Coturnix japonica: one gene and its partners. The protein of the gene in region 3 interacts with the protein of the main gene of each other region in a biochemical or structural test. Links are inferred from orthologs where the notes say so. Each region holds a gene or a part of one and is shown on either strand. Other genes may lie near its edges.

The links.
Region 1: of the proteins of BCL2 (region 3) and PPP2CA, one has a biochemical effect on the other in vitro, tested with the Homo sapiens proteins (2 studies listed by BioGRID, with this or other methods). The link is inferred for Coturnix japonica from reciprocal best matches to the Homo sapiens genes BCL2 and PPP2CA.
Region 2: the proteins of BCL2 (region 3) and FKBP8 form a complex in vitro, tested with the Homo sapiens proteins (4 studies listed by BioGRID, with this or other methods). The link is inferred for Coturnix japonica from reciprocal best matches to the Homo sapiens genes BCL2 and FKBP8.
Region 4: the proteins of BCL2 (region 3) and PMAIP1 interact in a biophysical measurement, tested with the Homo sapiens proteins (2 studies listed by BioGRID and IntAct, with this or other methods). The link is inferred for Coturnix japonica from reciprocal best matches to the Homo sapiens genes BCL2 and PMAIP1.

The regions. Positions count from the first base shown.
Region 1 is NC_029528.1:2,280,833-2,285,915, reverse strand, and holds the start of PPP2CA (serine/threonine-protein phosphatase 2A catalytic subunit alpha isoform), read left to right. Parts: upstream 1-1,878; 5' UTR 1,879-2,096; coding exon 2,097-2,198; intron 2,199-5,083. UniProt on the Homo sapiens protein: Catalytic subunit of protein phosphatase 2A (PP2A), a serine/threonine phosphatase involved in the regulation of a wide variety of enzymes, signal transduction pathways, and cellular events.
Region 2 is NC_029543.1:2,932,649-2,937,583, reverse strand, and holds the start of FKBP8 (peptidyl-prolyl cis-trans isomerase FKBP8), read right to left. Parts: upstream 3,527-4,935; 5' UTR 3,521-3,526; coding exon 3,480-3,520; intron 3,442-3,479; exon of another isoform or gene 3,326-3,441; intron 3,207-3,325; coding exon 2,902-3,206; intron 2,769-2,901; coding exon 2,599-2,768; intron 2,468-2,598; coding exon 2,379-2,467; intron 2,272-2,378; coding exon 2,054-2,271; intron 1,980-2,053; coding exon 1,807-1,979; intron 1,714-1,806; coding exon 1,636-1,713; intron 1-1,635. Other genes in the region: KXD1 (kxDL motif-containing protein 1), read left to right, coding at 4,092-4,186, 4,270-4,422, 4,519-4,565, 4,842-4,935. UniProt on the Homo sapiens protein: Constitutively inactive PPiase, which becomes active when bound to calmodulin and calcium. Seems to act as a chaperone for BCL2, targets it to the mitochondria and modulates its phosphorylation state.
Region 3 is NC_029517.1:62,996,257-63,000,685, reverse strand, and holds part of BCL2 (apoptosis regulator Bcl-2), read left to right. Parts: intron 1-2,036; coding exon 2,037-2,171; 3' UTR 2,172-4,429. UniProt on the Homo sapiens protein: Suppresses apoptosis in a variety of cell systems including factor-dependent lymphohematopoietic and neural cells. Regulates cell death by controlling the mitochondrial membrane permeability. Appears to function in a feedback loop system with caspases.
Region 4 is NC_029547.1:8,679,203-8,684,363, reverse strand, and holds the start of PMAIP1 (phorbol-12-myristate-13-acetate-induced protein 1), read right to left. Parts: upstream 3,422-5,161; 5' UTR 2,156-3,421; coding exon 2,104-2,155; intron 1,957-2,103; coding exon 1,799-1,956; 3' UTR 1-1,798. UniProt on the Homo sapiens protein: Promotes activation of caspases and apoptosis. Promotes mitochondrial membrane changes and efflux of apoptogenic proteins from the mitochondria. Contributes to p53/TP53-dependent apoptosis after radiation exposure. Promotes proteasomal degradation of MCL1.

The DNA of each region.
Region 1 (5,083 bases), on a different chromosome or scaffold from region 3:
AAGTATTGTTCCTACCTTGCCATGTACCTGAGGGACTGCCAAACCCCCAGCTGATGCAATGTGGCAGGTATTCTTTCATTATTTCCCTCTCCTTTGAAGGTTCTGATAACTATCTGGGAGAGAAGCAACCACAATTCACTGAGATATTGATTATGACTCTCAAGAAGGAGGAAGAGATCTGACATCTGATCCGAACGCAGTTTATGGGCTGAGACAACACAGGGATAAAGAATAGAGCAGGTTGTTTTAGATGGAACTCCAATTGTCTCCCTTCTATGTGAGCACCTGAATAACTGGATCCAAAATACTGCTGTGCCAAGTCCTCAGTTCTCTTCTAGTCAACGGCACAGCTTCAACTGCGAGCAAGGAACGATGAATCCCCTACCTCATGATGCTGAGTTGATAGCTAAGAGCTATGACTGCCTTTTCAAACAAGGAACCTTTCCATAGCAGAGTAACCCTAACACCAGGCTCCCATTAACCTATGGCAGGTTTGGGAGCCACCACAATTGCTTTAAAGACAGCAGCAATCACTATTGCAATCCGCATGGAGCACTGCCTAGTGCACATTACACGTGTTTTCTCTGCACATATCAGATAATACGTCACAGGACTTTGGTTGCAGTTTCATAAGCAAGTTAAGATTTTCCTGCTACTGAAGCTTTAATTTAAGAAATTTAAAAAAGAAAAAATCAGAAAGAATTCAGAACCTGAGTTTCACCAGGAATTCCTCTATCTCTATGAAAACAAAAGCTAAATACGGTCTTTAACTTGGCTAGTTAAATAAGAGAGGATTATTGCCTTATGTTCTTTCCAGTTGCTTGTTCAGGATTATTTGGGAGGCAATGAAGCAGTGCCACAGAGCAGATTCTTGCCATTTTTCAACAGATAACACCTCTCCTTTTACAGCTTTAAAATACAAAACCAGAGGCATCTGAGGATGCAAAATAGAGCCCCTGAAGAAAGGCATGCCAAAAAAATGCACATCTTATAGAGAGAGCATGACATGGAGGAACCGAGACCGACTGGTTACAGCAAACATTCCTTCCCCTTTGCTCACTATTTTGTTTCTTTGCCTCAATAGCAAGCAAAGAATTTAACCCTTTCCACTCACTGCAAGGCAAACCCGGCTGGAGACAAGTGACTCCTATTAAGCAGGAAGCCTTTGGTAAGTGGCTAATTCCAAAAGGGCACATTGGGCCAAATTCTGACCCACTTTATTGATTTTGTTGTTCTTTTAACTGATATTTCACACGCTTGATAAGTTACTGTAAGGAAATGCCACACCGGCAGCCCCGTCATTTAGGATGAAGACCACTGCAATACACGTTACACACACCGCACAGCGTCACAGTGTCACAGTGCGGTGCGGGTTGGCAGGGACCTTAGAGATCACCGAGTCCAACCCCGGGATTGGAGCCTCTGTGCTGCAGAGCGGCACTGCTACCACTTGCGCCACAGGGGGATTCGAACCCAAGGCCTCCAGCGTTGCAAAGTAGCGTCCTTCAGCACTGCGCCCTCAGTGTCACACCCCGCTCCCCCACACACCCATGAAGCCGTACCCCACACACTGTACAGCGCTACCCCCTATTTCCCCACCGCTCTCCCTCAGACCCGCCCACAGCCGCGCCCTGCACGGGCGGGAAAAGCTCATGACCCGCAGCTCCTCCCGCGCATGCGCACGAAGCCCCTCACAGCGCGCAAGCCCCGCTCCCCCCAGCCAGCATGCGCCGCGCATGCGCAGCATAGAGCTCCGTCTCTCCGGTCGGGCAGGTCCCGCCCATGTCGCGCATGCGCGGTCCGTCCAGCCTACTGCGCACGCGCCGTCCCCTCCCATGGCGGCGCCGTCCCCTCCCCGCAGTGTAGTGGGGCCGTGACGTCAGCAGCGGCGGCCATTACACGGGCAGAGCGAGGGTCGGAGCGCTCTGTTCGCTGCCGTGCGTTGGGCGCCGCTCCGCCCGCAGCTCCACGACCCGCTGCTGAGCCGCGACCACCGGGATCGCGTCGTTGGGGCCTTTGGGGGGAGCGGCGGCAGCTGGTGGTGAGGGGGAGGAGGAGGCGGAGGAGGAGGGGGCGAGCGAGCGGCTGCGTGCGGGATGGAGGAGAAGGTGTTCACCAAGGAGCTGGACCAGTGGGTGGAGCAGCTCAACGAGTGCAAGCAGCTGTCCGAGGGGCAGGTGAAGAGCCTGTGCGAGAAGGTGAGGCGCGGCGTGGGGAGCGGAGCGGCGGCACGGGGCGGGGCGGCACCTCCGGGGTTGGGCACACGGGGCTGTGAGCAGGACGGATCGGAGCGGTGCCGGGCAGTGGGTCGGCTCCACACATCGGCTCGGTGGGTCGCTCTGTTGGGCTCCGCTGGGCGCTGCTCGCTCTGCCCGGCGCTGGATGAGCCGCGGCCCCTCGGCGGGCATTGCCGCGGCCTGGCCCCGCCTCCCGCCTTTTCATCGCCTCCTAAAATGGCGCCGCTGCCGGGAGCCGCCGCCACAGAGCACGAGAGCCGCCGCCGGGCCCGGCCCTGCCGCTCCGCCATCCGTGCGGTGCTGTGCGGTGACACGGGGAGGCCGTGTAGGGCAGGGAGCGTAGGGCGCGGTGCGGGGCTCCGAGCTGCTGTGAGCACGGCGGATTATTCAGTTATTCATTTACCATACAAATATAGGATCGCGGTTATTTCTAATTGAAGCGGAATTTTAGATCGACCTGGGGAGTCGGGTTTGTTTTTTGTTTTTTTTTTTTCCAGAATAAAATGGCGCTTAGTGACATAAAGCTCGTGTCGCTGTTTATTGCTACGGTGACTGATGGGGATCCGCGCAGCACAATGATGTGCTGTGTGTGTAGTGTAGGAGCGGCTTCACATCGGCAACTGTGCTCTAGGAATTAAAGGAATAATAGCTGCAGTGGTACCCGGTTGTATTGTCCGGTTACAGTCTGTTTCTGAGCGGAATTAAATCCTCAGCCATCATGAGCCATTATTTTCCCTTCAATTACTGGAGGTTTTATTTGTGTGCACCTTTAGATTGAAGGAATTGCCTTTTTTGGGGGAGGGATCTAGAAATCAATGCGTATGGAGGTTATTGATGCCCTCGGTCCTAAAGAAGGCTGCGTGCCTATCACAGGAGGAAACAGGGGTATTTTAAGGTTGGCACCATGCCTTCAAATAGTACAGCGTGTTGGTTTAGAAGCAGATTGTTTCCAGAGGGTTGTATGTGGACTTAGAATTAACTTGCAGTGCTTTTGGCCATACAGGTTCTTGTTGTGTCCCACATTTCAGTCGCCTCATATTCCAGCAACTCAAAATCAAAGCCGTTAGATATAGTTTGTGTGTTTAACGTGGTGTTCCAAGCAAGTAGCAGGTTAGGGATTGTTTCCCTTGTGTGTCTTTAGTGCCAGCACTCTGACTTTTTCCTCGTGTCCCATTTGCCATCACTGATGTGCTGATGGAAGGGCTGAATCCTGGCTGGGTATTTCTAATGTGGTTGTATGGCAATCTGTAAAAACCCGAGGAATAAATGAAATTCTTTGCATTTAGTGGATGCTGTGGATAGGTGAGCAGTAGACATGCCAATAGAAACCGCACAAAAGGCACCATAGTCCTGTTCATAATCTGTGCGAGGATGGAGGTGTCTTCATTTTTTCCTAATGAAGAATTGAATTAGTCTATTTCTGGCTGAGCGTGTAATGTTCATCACCAGAATAGATTCATGACACTAGGAAAGAAAAAGCTGTTCTAACCTGAAACGATTCTGATAGGTTCAAGGCAAGGAATCACGAGGCAGGTGGGCTCTGTAGGAGCAGCAGACTCTGTTGGAGAGGCTGGAGGAATGATAGGTGATGAGCTGCAGGAATTGTTTGGATGAAGGAGTTGAATTAGGTTACAGAAAGCTGCCTGTTCGACTGCTGCATTGAGATGAAAGGCTGCAAGGACAGGAGAGAGGCTGATGTGAGAATACCACTGAGCAGCAGGGATGGTTTGCCACAAGTTGGAGCCAGCTCCAGACCAAAGGTGGAATGTCTTTGGGCAGCATGACACTGTGCTTGAGATAAAGCTCCCTCTCTATTACTCGGTTGAGGTCAACACTTTGTGAGGTACATCCAGGCTGTTTGTATTAAGGGTGATAACTACTGGTGGATTTACCAGCCCCTGTTAGTGGTAGGTGAGATGCTGTGTCAAGCTTTCCATTGTCCTGTCCCCCCCATGGGTTGCTGTGTTCCCAAAGCAGGGCATTAGTTGAATTCTGTGCCTGTCTGCAGAGGTTCCTCATTTATCCTGTTCCCAGGCTTCCAGCACCAGCTCTCTGCAGTACTGAATTATGATTCGTGTTTTGATTATTGTCTGCAATCACACCCAAAGGTTATGATTTTCCATAGAGAGCTTAGATGTTAAGGGTGGTGTCAAACATAGTCACTGTTTCAAATGATGGGTGCAGACCCTATCTGACAGAAGCTGTCATTCCTCACTGCTCTGAGCTGTAGCTACGATAGAAAAAAGTAATCCCTCTTGTGAAGGCTTTTCCCCATAACATGCTGTTTATTAGGTGATCTTCTGACTGGTATTTCTGGATCTTCTGAGGCTTCGTGTGTGTCTAGTAAGACGAAGCCTGAGGGCTCTGTTGTGTTTCAGTATTGATAGCAGAAGAACACAACAGCTATTTGCAGACACAGTGCAGTGCAGCACAGTAACTCAGTGTGGCCATTCATGCATCGCAGTTACTCTCAGTGCATCCTGTGTTGTGCCTTATTACCTTGGTGATGGTACCTGGTAGAAATGTCTTCTAGAGCCAGGAATAATTTGTAGCCACAAATAATAGCGACTTTCACAGACCTGAAAAAAGTCTGAGTGACAATTAGAAGAATTTAATGTGAATATTTTCTATTAATTTTGCTACACCAGTGACAGGTTTTATGTGCTTTAAGTATTTCTTAACTGTTAGCTTTGAAGAGTTGTTATAAATATGTGCCTTACTCAAGTATATGGCATTTATAATATTGGCCACATTTGTCCTGCTGAGGCTGAACTGTTCGCTGTCTGCTGTCTGTGTACAGGAGAAAGGAAGTCCTTTATGGCCAGGTGAGGTTATTTTCCACTGCC
Region 2 (4,935 bases), on a different chromosome or scaffold from region 3:
GCTGCTGACAGTGTGCAGAGGAGCCTGAAGCTGATGGCAGCATCAGGATTTTCTCCTTTAATCGAGGCAGAAAAGTTTCTGCCTCGGGGACAGACCAGCCAGAGCTCTATCACATTTCTATCTGGAAATAGGCTGGGTAAGAAGGCTCACACCAAACCTGGTCTGAAGCCAGACTATGGCAAACCTTGGATGTCCTTCTGCATCCTGCACTATTGGACCTGCTCTGTGGTGGAGGGCTGATATCCCCAGCCTGCAGTGGCAGCAACACAGCGGTGCCACAGCTGTGCTGTGCCCTCTGCTGGGGATGCTGTGCTGCAGGCAGCTCTGATACTGCCCCAAAGCACCAGCACAGCGAGCAGCCAGGGCACTGCCAAGCCATGGCACCTGCAAACACACCCCAGCACCTTGCTGGGTTTGGTGCTTTGATGTAGAACAAACAGCATCTCCATAAAGGTGAACCTCCAAGGGGTTAGAAAGGGACGTGAAGGTTTGCACCAGTGACGAGGTGCCGGCAGCACCAGACAACCAGGTTTTCTCATCCAAAAGCAGGTGGAGCTGATCATTTCTTGAGTCTGTTCTCACCACCGGTAGCCTTAGCTGTGACTCACCACTGTGTGTTTAAAGCTGCACTGCCACATCCCTGCGAATCTCAGCAAGCAGCTGGAAAGGCCAATCATTTGTTTGTGGTTTCATTGGTAACGTCACTGCCAGGCAGTTTGATTTTTGCTCCTTTTCAATTAAAAGCTTCACCCAGATGGGCTGATGAGCTGCAGCCCTGCCAGCAGCAATGACACAAAGGACAAGCAGGGAGAGCATCCCCCATCCCTGTAGTCCCAGTTCTGCTCCTCTACCTCTTACAAGCAGCCCAAGTGCTACTTTGAGATCCCATATACCCTTCCTCATGAGGGCTCTCACACCACAAGGTGCCTGGGAGCTCTGAAGGCTATTGAGCACCTGCAGGGCCTCATGCTGCCCGTGACCTTCAGGCACCAGGGAACACGAGGTGAACTGTGATGTTTTGGTGGAATGGCCACAAAGAGGCGGATAAAACCGAGAAGCCAATGAAGGAGCAATGCCCCCACTGCAGGCAGCACCTCCCCTGCTGCTCCCAGCCCTGCTTTTGCTGGAGCCACTTCCTGGCACTGCTGAGGCTTTTGACTTCCCTGAGGCTTCAGTCCTGCAGCTGATCATTAACTAACAGGAAATTCCTGACCCAGAGATTGCTCCGGCCTGGGTGCTGGACTGAGGCTTGGGTTTGCTGGGGCCACCCAATGAATCACACTGCAGACTGCTGAGTGAGATGACAAGAACTTGCTCTGCCTCGCTTCTCACAGCAATGGCACAAGCCACAGGGAAGCCAGACCGTGCAGGCAGAGCTGCTGAAGCAGAGATGGGCTGGCAGAGATCCCTGCTACCACAAGGGCCAAAGGGCAAAAAGAGAGTCTTGCAACATGGAGATAAGGAACCCACGAGCTCAGCCACGTTCAGGTATTGCAGCACCAGGTGCTGGCACTTGGTACACCACCCCACAGCTGCCCTGGCCACACACAAAGGAGACTGGTGACAGCTATGGGGTACACTGAGGTTTGTAGGAACACGGCCACAAGGCCAGAGCCATGAGAACACCCAGCCTACCTTGTTTGAAGGCTCCAGCTTCAAAGCTGCCTTTAGGATGGGGATGGCCTCTCTGTACTCGCCCTGCTGGGCCAGGACCTGGAAGATGAGGTGGGGGTTGAGGGAGGTGACTGAGGTCTGGTCCCTGCGCCTCCCCAGCCCTGCTGAAGTGCAGGGATGGCAGCAGCTCACCTTGCCCTTCCGGAAAAGTGCCTTGATGTTCCCTGGCTGGTGCTCCAGAACAAGGTTACAGGACTTCAGGGCCGCCTCATAATGGTCCAGTTTAAGCTGAGAGGCTGCCAGATTGTTGAGACATTTCACCTTCACATCCAGCAGCTCAGCCTCCTCATCCGGGGTGAAATCAACTGCAAAGACCCCAGAGGTGAGTTACAACAGGAAGGAAGCACAGGCAGCCCTCGCTCACAGCAGAAAGGGGTACCTTTGGAACTGGAGCCGATGACTTTGAGAGCGATGTCATAGGAATTGATGGCCAACACATAATCTGCCTGCTGGTAGTAGAAGTTACCTCGCTCCCGCTTGCGGTTGGCCAGGTCTATCTTTTCCTTCCCACTGAGCAGCTCCAGGTCTGGTGCATCCCGAGCCTCCAGCAGCTCGACCTCCAGCGTGAGGGCTGCGTTGGGTGGGATGTCAGGGCTCCTGCAGTGGCACAAAGCTGTGATCAGGCCGTGGTAGTGGGGAATGGGGATAGTTGTCATAGCCCTGTTTGGGCCCACCCTATCCCATTCCACACTCTCCATGCTCACCTGCCCTGTGCACCATAGCAATACTTGGCATCTGATGTAATCAAAGCAGTTTCTCTCATCTCCATAAGCTGTACACAGAGGTCCAGAGCCTACAGGGAGCAATGTTGCAGGAGAAGATGAGCAAAGCAACCAACCCTGACTCCAACAAGGACATTGCCAACCCCATGTCTCCCCCCAGGGTGAAGTTGCACACATCAGAGCAGCTTCCTCCAAGCCCCACCTGCAATACATCACAGTCTCCCAGGGTAAAGGTGAGGCTGGGGTTCTCCTCCACCACAGTGCCATCGTCCAGTGTGGCCCTCAGACGGACAGTCACCTCCTGGCCTTTGTGGGGGCGGCTCTCCACCCCCTGACCTGGCACGAGTGTCTTCTTCTTAAGCAAACCACTCCCTGGGCCAAGAGAAGCCAGAGGTGGTCAGCCCATAGTAGGGAAGGGGAGAACCTCACTCCCAACCCAACCTCAGCCTCCGTGGTCGCCAAAGCATCTTGGGAATGCCCTGCTGCCCTCCTGCCCTGCTCTCACCCAAGACATCGAGCCACTCCTGGGGGTCCTCAGCTGCTTCCCCTGGGCCTTGCTCTGCGGACTGGGCGTCCTCCTGCAGCGGTCCCCGTGCCCGTCCCACGTCCTCCAGCGGCGGCAGCTCGCTCAGATCATCCTCGTCCTCCTCCAGAACCTCGAAATCCTCCATACTGTCCAGCTGAGCGGAGCAGGCTGCGGCCGATTCCGGGCTGGGCGGTTCGGTGCCGCTGCCCGCCCGGCCGGGGGAGCCGCTGCTCGTCTCCTCTCCGCTGGAAGCCATGGCGGCAGAGCAGGGAGAGAGTAGCGACCTGCGGGAGATACAAACAGCAAACTGCGGACACCGCGATGAGGCGTCTAACACCACCCGAGCGGCTCGGGCTCGCACAGCGCCCTTCCGCCGGGGCCGGCCCGGGGAGGCCCCACTCACCGGTTCCGGCCCCTGGAAGCCCCGCCCCGCGCCCCTCTCCTCCACCACGTGCTTTTCTCCCGCGCGCGCGCCCGCCGGGGGGTCCCCCCGTCACGTTCCCGCCACGCGCGGGGACTCCCCTGGCAACGGCCGCGCGCCCCCCGCTCCCACCTACCCGCCAACCCGCGCCCGCTGGCCCCGCCCCCGCGCTCCCATTGGGCCGCTGCCTCCCGCCCCCCTCAGGCCATTGGGTGACGCCGACGTTCCTCATCGGCGCGTCGAGAACGGCGCGCCGCGGTCTTAAAGGGGCCGCAGCACCGAACCTGCTCCGCGGGTCCGGAACCCCAACCGGGCCGGTGTCCCCGCCGCCCGTCACCCCGGCAGCTCTCGGTGCACCGCCTCTAACGACTGTGGGTGCTGGAGGCCCACGGAGCTTTCCCGGACCTCTCAATCCCTGCGAGGTCGGTCCATCGCACAGAACAGCCCCGGGTTCGTTTTCCGGTACCGGGACAGACCCGGTCCCTTCACTAGACCCAATCGCCACCACTTCCGGCCCGGCGCCGTGACGCACACGCGCGGTGACGCCACGGGGTCGCGCTCGACGTGACCCCGCACCCGGAAGCGAGGAGCGGCCGCCGGTTCCTCTCCCGTCATGTGAAGGGAGACGGAAAAGGAGCGGCCCCGGTGCTGCCGAGGGACGGACGGAGATACCGAGTCCGGGTTTGGGGGGGGGGGTTCCGTTACCGGGCACTGCGGGGGCCGGGGATCCCTTAGAGGCAGCGGTGCGATGGAGCCCACGGCCTCGCGGGTGTTCTGCGGGCGGGTGCTGGGCATGGTGAACACCGAGGATGTGAACGCGATCATCCAGGCTCAGAAGAACATGTGAGTCCCGGGGGGGTCCCGTGAGCGGGGGCAGCCCCCGGTGCGCTCATATAACACCGGGAACTGCTGCCCCCCCCCCGCAGGTTGGATCGTTTTGAGAAGACGAACGAGATGCTGCTCAACTTCAACAACCTGTCGAGCATCCGAATGCAGCAGATGAACGAGCGCTTCCTGCACCACACCAAGACGTTGGTGGAGATGAAGAAGGATCTCGACAGCATCTTCCGTCGGATCCGGTAGGAAGAGCTGGGAGGGGATGGTGTGAGGGACCCCAAGGATGGAAGGGGTCTGTGTGTGTGTCCAGCTGTGAACGTGGCTCTCTCCTCCTGCAGGGCGCTGAAGGGGAAGCTGGCCAAGCAGTACCCGGAGGCTTTCAGCAGTGAGTGCTTCCTCAGGTTCTTCTTCCTTCGTCAAGGTTCCCCCTCCTCAGAATGTGCCTTCAATGGGGAGTTTGGGACTGCCAGCATGCAGCTGCTGTGTTAACAATCCAATGTATTGTGTAGGAAATCACAAAGCCACAAATGCAATGGGGTCTGATTTTGTTGATTACAATTGTTGATTAAAATCCTTCTGCCAGAGTGTGGCTGGCCTTGCAGTGCATCATGTTGCTGTTTGTATCTACAGCAGTTATTAACATCTACTTCTTCCTTTCCAGACATACACGAATCTCCTATTCTAGAAGATGACGACGACTTCGACCCGGTTCCGAAGAGCACGACAACCACCATTGCTACCTCTGAGCAGAGCAC
Region 3 (4,429 bases):
CTCATTTTGCAATTGATACTGGGTGTGCATTGGCTGTCATAACTATACAGAAGTGAGACTCAGCCCACAGAAAGAAACCATGGAAATGTAACATTAAGATATTTTCACGACTTGCATTTCCATGGTATTTTTTTTTTTTTCGTTTCCTGTGTTTTCCACCTATTATAATATCAGCAAGTTTTGAACTTCACCCTTCTTGTATTTTTATAAGGCATGATCGTGAACTCCCTATCCAGACAAAGCTCCCATGGAAGTCAGTGAGTCTGCAGTGGCGGCAACAGGATTTAGCCCAGTCTGTAACATTTTAGGATATTGTGTTACTTCATAGCCTTAAGGAGAAATAAAGAAAGCTGTCCAAAGAACTGCTCAGCAAACTCTGTACTTCTCGGCTCTTCATCAGCACAGAAGAATATTGAGGCCAAGGTTTGGCAATGTCTATTTCAAACACAACACAGCTATGCAAAAGTTGCTGAATTTTCTCAGGGAAGAACAATTTGCGTTAAGACATTGGCCCCAAAGGTTAAACTGCCTTCACTTAAGAATATAGTCTTGGATACTCAAGTTTGAAAATGATTGCCTGGAGGAAGAAGCATTGAGAAATATCAGGAGGAAGACAATTTGGGTCAACCTGTTGGGCAAACCCCTTAGCTATTCTGTTACTGACACATTCACTCTTACCTACAACACGAGCCAATATTACTTAATATAAAAACACATTTGGAGATTACAAATGTTTTATTTATTTGCATCTCGCTTGGTCTAGTGAACAGGAGTCAAAATGGCACGATATAAAAAACCCTTACACGCCCTCTCGTGGTATAACCATAAATGCACTTATTTTAACAATATCTAGAATGGGCTAATGAGGAAGGCTATTTAATGTGTGATTTATGGGAAATGCATCTGGCTGAAAGGTTTCTATGAAGGGCAGAGACCTGTTACTCTTTGTTCTTGCTGTGATCCGTGACATGTATGCATTTTCAGAAGGCAGGTTACCGCCTAGCATAGTAACATTGCAAAATGTCTAAAGGCAACATAACATAAGTAGAGAATGTTTGCTTTTACAAAAATTTGGAAGCCTAGGATAATAGAGAATGATGTAAACCCCACAATGGATATCTGTCTGATGGGTTTATCTCTGTGGTTTGGGTGCAGACCTTAATTGGTTGCACAAGATAGAGTTGTCCTAAACTCTGCTATTTTTTCTACACCCTCCCCCCCCCCCCCCCTTTTTATTTTTTTAAGCCATTCAGCTTCATTATTCGTTGCTTTCATGCAGCACAGTGTGGTTTACCTCTCTGAGTGTTCTCAGGTTTCATGTTTGTAAAGAATGGCAGGCAGCTTGAAAGAAACACATTAAGCACAGAGTGTTACCGATCTGATCACTAGCCCAGTCAAAATCCCATTGTATTTGTGGAGCACAAAAACAGACCACTGCTATATCAGAGGAATGGCTATCAGGAACACGGGGCTGAGGTGTCAGCCCTTTTGGTGACAGTCATAAAAGGCCAGCAATAGCGTAACACAGAACTGCACCCTAACAGCTTCAACTCACACAGAAGAAACATCTCAATGATGGCTGTGTGGAGTCTTCTGAACCCTATCCCTAAGGAACACAATAAATATTAGTCAACAAAATAGATGTCCTTTGTCCAGTGGAAGCAAAAGGTTTGGAGAATGAAGTTCCAATCTCTTCCATTCCATCCTTCATGTGTTTTTGTATATACACAAAAGGGAGCCACAAGGGAGTTAGCTCCTGTTTAAAAAATGCCGTTACTGTATTTGCTGTTGGACAGGCCATGCCTAAAACAGACTGTAAGTAATTACAGCAATGTTTGTGAAGAAATAGGCAGGAGAACTTTGTGCTAAGCACTGCACAAAAACATAGCTCCCAAATCACTGTTTTCATACGTTGATGTGTTGTGGGGTTTTTTTCTACCGAAGTGATTGCTGAATGACCACTACATGTGAAGAAGCTCTCCTACCTCCCTTCAAGAGTTACTGTGATTCTGATGTTCCTTTATTTCCCTTTCTAGGATGCCTTCGTGGAATTGTACGGCAACAGTATGAGGCCTTTGTTCGATTTCTCCTGGATCTCTCTGAAGACCATCCTGAGCCTGGTTCTGGTGGGAGCTTGCATCACTCTTGGCGCTTATCTTGGACACAAGTAGAGTCACCCAGTTTATCGTGGATTACAAAAGTCTTTCAAAACAGCAAAATAATATTTTTTTTCTGTAGCACAATGGTATTTTATGAGCAAAACAACTTCCTGGCTAAAGATTAAATCAGCTATTACTGCCAAAGGAAATATCATTTATTTTTACATTGCAGGAAAATTATTTATTAAAATATATTTACATTTTAACCTGCTATTTTCAGAAACTCTGCAAGTTGTATCTGTCATCACATCATGTTGTTATTCTTAACTTTAAAGAGCCCCAAAGCATTTTAGGTTCTTTTTTTTTTAATTGATGCAGTTGTCTGGATCATTTTATCTGGAAAGAGCAAGTATACTGACAAAGACCTACCTGCTTACACTTAGGAAGGCAGTTACTTGAGCTGCTAACGGCTGTGTAATTGTATAGATCTCCTTGCAATTTTTGGGATGGCCGAGAGGGCTCTGAAAGAAAAGGTCAATGTGAACAAAGTTCTAATCCCGTCCTGCCTGCGAGCTCAACATGGTACACGCATGCAGTCAAAATGGTGACTTCTTGAAGGACACTTGGCTATCCCTACAGCTTGAAATGCAATTGCCTCTGCCTTGTAGACATGCGTTTTCAAGTTACCAGTCGTGCCATCGCATCATAGTCATGATAGCATCATCCTATACCCTACTATGTGTCAGCTCAAATGCTTTTCTTTATGGATGTGTGAAGTTTAATCTTTGGGGCTTGCAGGAAATTACTGTTCCAATGATTTTCTCAGCAGTAAAAAGTTTTCACGGCTACTGACACAGAAACATCAGGAGACCTTAAGTGCCTGCTTCTACAGAGCAGAGCTGGAGTCTGAAGACCTGACCTGCGTCCCACTTTAGGGCTCATATCTGCAACTAATCCTGTTTACTTACAGAGTTCCTCTGGGGGTTTGAAACCAATTAAATGTGGTCTCCAAATCCCTGAAAGTTGAAAAAGATTTTAATTCTATTTGGCAAGAAACAGACCTCAGCTGAGTTACAAATTAGCTCTGACTATCCTCGTTTCTCAAACCAGACACCAAAATCAAGTTCATTTTCATAACACAGAAAGAAAGTGAGCTTTATCCTCCTGCCCCTTGCCCTCAAAATTATTTCATGCTAATAATTTCCTAAGACTGTCTACTGAAGAAAAGATGAAGAAGAAACTCCTCTATCTGGACAGAGACTCTCTGACACCTCGATCTCACAGGTGCCTACTGTCATTTCAAGCGAAAACAGGGTGGAGGAAAAAGGGGAGGGTGAAGCCATCTGCCCCTGTTAGAAATGCAACGCAAGTACAGTTAATGCAGAATACTCAGTATACACTTTTATAAGCAGACCTGTGTCCTAAGACCAGGTGTGTTGATGTATGTCAAAGCAGGGCTTTCCATGTGCTCGGAGGGGGCCGGAATTGCTGACGAAGCAGAAGAATCCCAGTGTGTTGCATGGACTGCTCTGTTGAATGGACATCGCCATCTTCAATCAAACGCTCCTATTTTTTCTACGAAACTTTTGAAACCCGGGATTTGTGGGTAAATGGACATTCAGAGATAGAAAGAAAAGGTTTTAAAGCTCTGAATGTAATGTACCGTACAGCGCAGAAGTGCTAATAAGGGGTGAAAAAAGTAAAATAAAATACAGTGAATAAACTGTAGATTCAACCTCAGAATTTCAGATGGATAACTTTGTGGCATTATATGCAAAATATCTCCATTAACTTGGGAATGTAAGATGTTCAATGTTAAGGCTGTAGTTGATGTTGTGTCTTCAAAGCTGCTTTTTTTTGTTTGTTTGTTTGTTTTAAGAGTTGTACATCTCAGCATTTTTACTGCTATTTAGTCATGGCACCTACACTTTGTGTGAGCAAAGATGGAACGAGCTTACCTTTCCACTTTGAAATTACTTGTAATTTCATAGAAACATACAAAGGAGGTGTTTCAAAGATCACAGAAGTGGGACTAAAACTAGGATCGATTTTAAAGAAAAGAAAAAATGTCATAGAATCAGATGCACCTGCAGTGTTTTTGGAGCTTCTGTCAGAAGTGGGCATATGTGTGCAGGATTCATATGAGAAATATTTGAATTGGGAGCAACCAAGTATTGTGGATCGAGTGTGGGCTTTGTTTTTTTTTTTTCAGCTGCGAAGCTGAACGTGTCTGAAGCTGATTTCAAAACTGGAATTGGCTGCTATCGAGCTGATGTTTCATTTCACAAGCTAGTCTTTGTTTCAATTTATGCCCATACGCCCATTAAAGT
Region 4 (5,161 bases), on a different chromosome or scaffold from region 3:
GTTTGTGGAATGCTCCGTCAGCATGTAAAGGTGGGCAGGAAGGTTGTAGGGGTGAGTGGGAAAGCTAGGAAGAGGAAACCTGTGAAGGTATGTAAATGATGTGAGAACTTGTAATAAACGGTTCAGATCGTTCACATCTGAGTCTGTGCATCAGACACTGCACCAGGCAGGAAGAACTCCAGTAATCTGAACTGGAATTCAGGAGGTGCAACTACGCACCCTTACACAACGCAAATACAGCTGCATACCAAAGCAGAGCTCAGCTAGAGAAGCAAGCGCGTGGCCACACCTGACTTTCTGTGCTACATCTTCTGAAGGAGATGGGGATTCTGCACATCTCTGAACACTGATTGAAGAGGTAGCAACAAATGTCACCAGCCGTGGCCTTTTTATTGCTGCACCCTTGAAAGAACACTGTTCAGGAGCAAGATGTGGTGTGCAGAGGTGACACCTGCCTGGGCTGTGAGCTTAGTGCAGCTCCTCTGGAGCCAACAAGGGGAATTCTACATTACAGCAGCACATTGCCCTACTCTGGGTGCTGCAGCAGCTTCCTCTGTCCGGAAACAAAATGAGGATGCCATGAAACGAAAGAGAAACTAAGTACAAGGGAAGGATTTTCCCGTACAGAATGAATAAAGATTGCGGCTGCTTTCCTGTACTGACTGTAACAATCTGTCTTATGATTTCTTCACAGGGAGGCGGCTGCCTTCCTTGAAAAAATGGCGATCCAAAGAAAATTTGATCTTTGACTCAGATTCGACGTTATGGTCTCTTGATAAGTTATTTTGCTACTCAGAAAAACACACAGAGGAGCTGTATTGTCATCAAAAACTTCTTTTCAGTGTTGGAAGAAACCTTCCACACAACATACATCATACCTCAGTATTTCTGTACTATACATTTGTATTAATTATCTAATGGTATACTAAATTATGTTCCCCTCTGTAATTCAAGAAGTGTTTCCTGTACCATCAGAAAAGAGAGTGCTTTCTCTTCTGCTTAATATGAACTATTTCCATCATGTTTTGAGCATTTTTTCATGCTACTCTTTGAGCCTAAAGAAGTAGCATTCACTTAACAGGTCTGTGAAACACTCCTCTCATACAAAGGGGTACGCATATTTTATATATATGTAATATATATCTATGCAAATATATACATATATATAATATATAGACTATAACTATGCAATATCACATTAATTCACAGAATTGCATTTTTTTTTTATCCCCAAAGCCACTTGCTACAACAAATAACCTTTATATTAAAGCAGTGGTTTTAATGAACAAATGAGATATCCCCAACACCACCACTTCCCCATCCAGCAGAATCCGAGCTGTAGAAGATAAGGGCAGTCAGAACCTGAACGCCGGCTTTCACCTTGTTGACTCATGCCCACGTTCCACAACTTCTTTCTTTGCTTCGGAACCTTTCTGTCCGCAGTTCCTGGCTGGGATGTGGGATGCGAAGGCAACAGGGGAGGTGGGGTTGTCACAGGGTTCCCCAGCCCCAAGAAGAACAAGTTCCAACCTGCCCCTCACTACGTAGCGAGGGGCCGGTGCTCATTGCCTCCATTTTTTCCCCCAACTTAGCATCCATAAAGCAATAACGTTGTAACACTTCCCAAAGAAATCACATGGTGACAGCCATCCCTCGGCGTCTGCAGGTAGCAAAACACAAATCAAAGAGCTTTTTTTTTTTTTCCCCTCCATCTCCCAGTGTAAGTGAAATCTCTCGTTCCAGATCTGCAAAGTCGAAATCTTCCCCCTTTCTTTCTCAGCGCTGCGGGGGCGGCGGATCACGTCTTGGGGCAGAAGAGTTTAGTGATGAGGTTCAGGATCTTCTGCCTGAGGTCCGCCTTGTCGCCGATCCTGCGCAGCTCCACGGCGCACTCAGCCACCGCGTCCCTCTCTGCAAGGCACGCGCAGGGAGGTGGGGATTTAATTCGAGCGAGGTCTATTCCAGGTAGCGGCACAGGGGAAAGCAAGAAGAATATCAAGTAGAAAAAGGAAGAGGAAAAAGGAAAAGCGTGTTTTTTTCCAGCATCAAACTCTCCCCCGCAATAAAAACACCTGAGACCTGTCTCCTTTCTCCTCGCCCTACCTGCAGGCTCGGCGGGTGGAGCAGGTTTGCGTATCGTCCTGCCGGGCATCATCGCGGCAACAGCTCGGCTCGGTTCGGCTCGGCGCAGTCCGGATCCACACGGCTCGGCGGCGGCGGGACACTGCGGGCAGGCGGGGCGATGCGCGCCCTAAAAGCGGAGCGCGGCGGGGTTTTCCCTCGTAGTGACGTCAGGAACAGTGCGGGAATCCCTCCCCCACCGTGGCGGGAGCGTGTCGGAGCGAGCCCGGACCGGTGGAGGAACGCAGAAATAAAGCGGGGTGCGGGGCGTGATGAGGGGGAGGGGATGGGTGTGCGGGATGGGGGGGTGTACTTGTGTTAAAACAGTGTAAGGATGCGCAGTGTATGGGAGGTAGAAGGATGCTGACCTACACCTGCAGCTCAGGGTTCTACCCTGCTGCTGGACCCGCACGCAGTGCCCAGGCAGCTCTGGCAGCTCACCTGCAAGTCCAGGTTGTGCTACACGGAAGCAAAGCTGAAATTGCCGCATGGCCCTCGTGACTTTTGTGATCGTAGCATAGTTTTGGGAGAGCTGCCAGAGCTCCGCCAGTGAGTCATCTGTCTGCAGGAAAGTTTGGTGTGATGGCTGTTTGTGTTTACCTGAAAACGAAAACAGGTGGACAGAAAGAGAGCAAGAAGGGTCAGACGTAACAAAGAGCTGATCTGAGGCTGGGTGCAATGTATACCCACCTTTCCCATTGCAACGCAGCTACAAGCAGGAAAAGACACTGCAATTGGGAGGTCAGGAAGTGCTTTCCTGTGGGATCAGAGCCTCTGGGACAAGTGTCTACAAAGCTGATTGCTGTCTGTTGGAAGAGGAAACTTCACCAGCTCAGTTCAGAGCTCCTTTTCCCTGCGTGTCTCAGGGTGCCTTGCTGGAATCCACAGCCGGGTGTGGATATTGCACAGCTGAGGCTGCAGCACAGTGAGGTGCACCGGGCAGGCACTGTGTCAGGGCCCTCTGGCACTTTCTTTTATCTGTCCTCGTCTCTCAGCTTATGATATAATACCTACATGGTATACAGGCTTATTGGCTAGATGTGATGTTTTTAGGGTCATTTCACATCCATACCAGCACATGTGTTTGTAATGCAGGCCCATACTGAGAAAGGTGCCCTTTGGCCTTTGATTCCTGTTATGGGAGAAACTCTCTCTCCAAACAGGTCTGTTGGGTTTAGGTGGCAGGGAGGCAGCAAATAGCCCTGGGGTGCATTGTCCATGTGGCGGGTGTCCCTTGGCTGCCCACAAGTGTGCACTGCCCACAACCCCATGAACAGCAGTGCTCAGCAGCTTCAGCAGGGAACAGGGACACATCAGCCCTCTTGTTGTCCTCCCCACAGAACAAAAACTGAGGAGAAGGAACGGAGGAGCAAAGCATGAGAAAGGAGAATTGCTGCAAGCATTTATTTAGCTCATTTAAGTGGAGCCAGAAACAATTTGAGAGAGATCTACTACTCAGGCATAAAAACCAGTGCCCCTCAATCTTGATATATCATAGGATCACTGAATTAATTGAACAGAATGGGACCTCAAATCTGCCCCAGCCTCAACCCAGCCCCTGCCATGGGCTGGCTGTCCCCACTAGTTCAGGCTGCTCAGGGCCTCATCCAACCCAGCTCTGAGCACCTCCAGGGATGGGGCACCACAGCTGCTCTGGAAAGTCTGTGCCAGGACCTCACTGACCTGAGTCAAGAATTTCTCCCTAATATCTACTCTAAATCTAAAATCTCCCCTCTTTTAGTTTTAAGGAGGACCTTGTCCTATCAACTGTCAGACTGCATAAAAAGTCTTCTGCTTATAATCTCCCTTCAAGTACTGTCAGGTCGCAGCGAGATGTCCCTGCAGTCTACTCTTCTCCAGGCTGTCAAGATCAGCTCTCTCAGCCTTTCTTCATAGAACAGCTGCTCCATCCTCTGAGCATCTGCCCAGCTTAGAAAGACTCCCTTGCCAAAACGGGGAACAGCCTTTAAAGGTAGCTCATCCTACTGCCCCTGCAGCAGCACCAAGAGACGGTCTCTCTTCTTTTGGAGATACTTCCACCTGCCAGGGCAGCAGTGCACAGATCAGTGGACTAGCTGATTGGCAAGGTTCATTTATTTCTTTTTGTTACTTGAGAACAGTTGTAGGGCAAAAAGAAGAATGGGAGTCTTCAGTGTGCAAATTGGGTTTACGGGCCAGGGCACCTGCAGTGCTCACCTCTGCATGCCCTGCTGCTGCAGCCCTCCTATGTGCAGGGCAGAGAGCCCACTGCCACAGGAGGAGCTTGCTGGATGCTGGTGGGCAATGAGGCTGTGGCTGTGGGGCCACTCTTTGCCTTGCTCAATGTGGCAGGGTGAAAAATAACCTGCTGTGGTTACAGGCTGCCAGTGAGCTCTGACACTGTTGGTTTCAGTTCCTCTAAACAAAGCAGCATGGCTGTGGGAAGAGCAGCACCCCAGGAGGCTGCTCCTTAGAGTGGTCTTGAAAGCTGTGGGGCCATGGGCATAGCCTGGGGGAAAATGGGTAGGAACAGAGTTAAGCAGCCCTGGACCTCAGAGCCATTTTTCTGTTTATCAGCATCTGAAGATTGAGGGATTATGTGGCTGGGAAGGGAGAATCCCGAGATGCTGTACACGGAGCCATGCTGGTGTCAGGCACTGCGGTCTGAGCAGCGCTGGAGATCAAGAGCAGCGCGTGACCAACCTGCAGCGTGACTAATGCCAGCGGGCAGATGTGATGAAAGGAAAACGAATGTTACAGAAACAAAAACAAGAGCAGAACTGAAAGGAAAGCGAACGTTTTTTTGTTTTTGTTTTTTCTCTGAATTCTGATGCTTCTGCTGAATCAGCTTCAAGCACCACATCTCTATAAAATTAAATAAATCATTGCTGCTGTTTGGTTATGAGAATCTCTCGCTATTGAGTCCTGCTGCCCGGTGCTGGCGGCTCTGAGCTCACTGATGGGCTGTGTGCTGCTCTTTCCCTTCCTCTTTCTGCAGACTGCAGCTCGGTGGCTCCTGCAATGAGTGCTGGAGCAGGAAGCAGAGCTGTGCTGCCGGGGG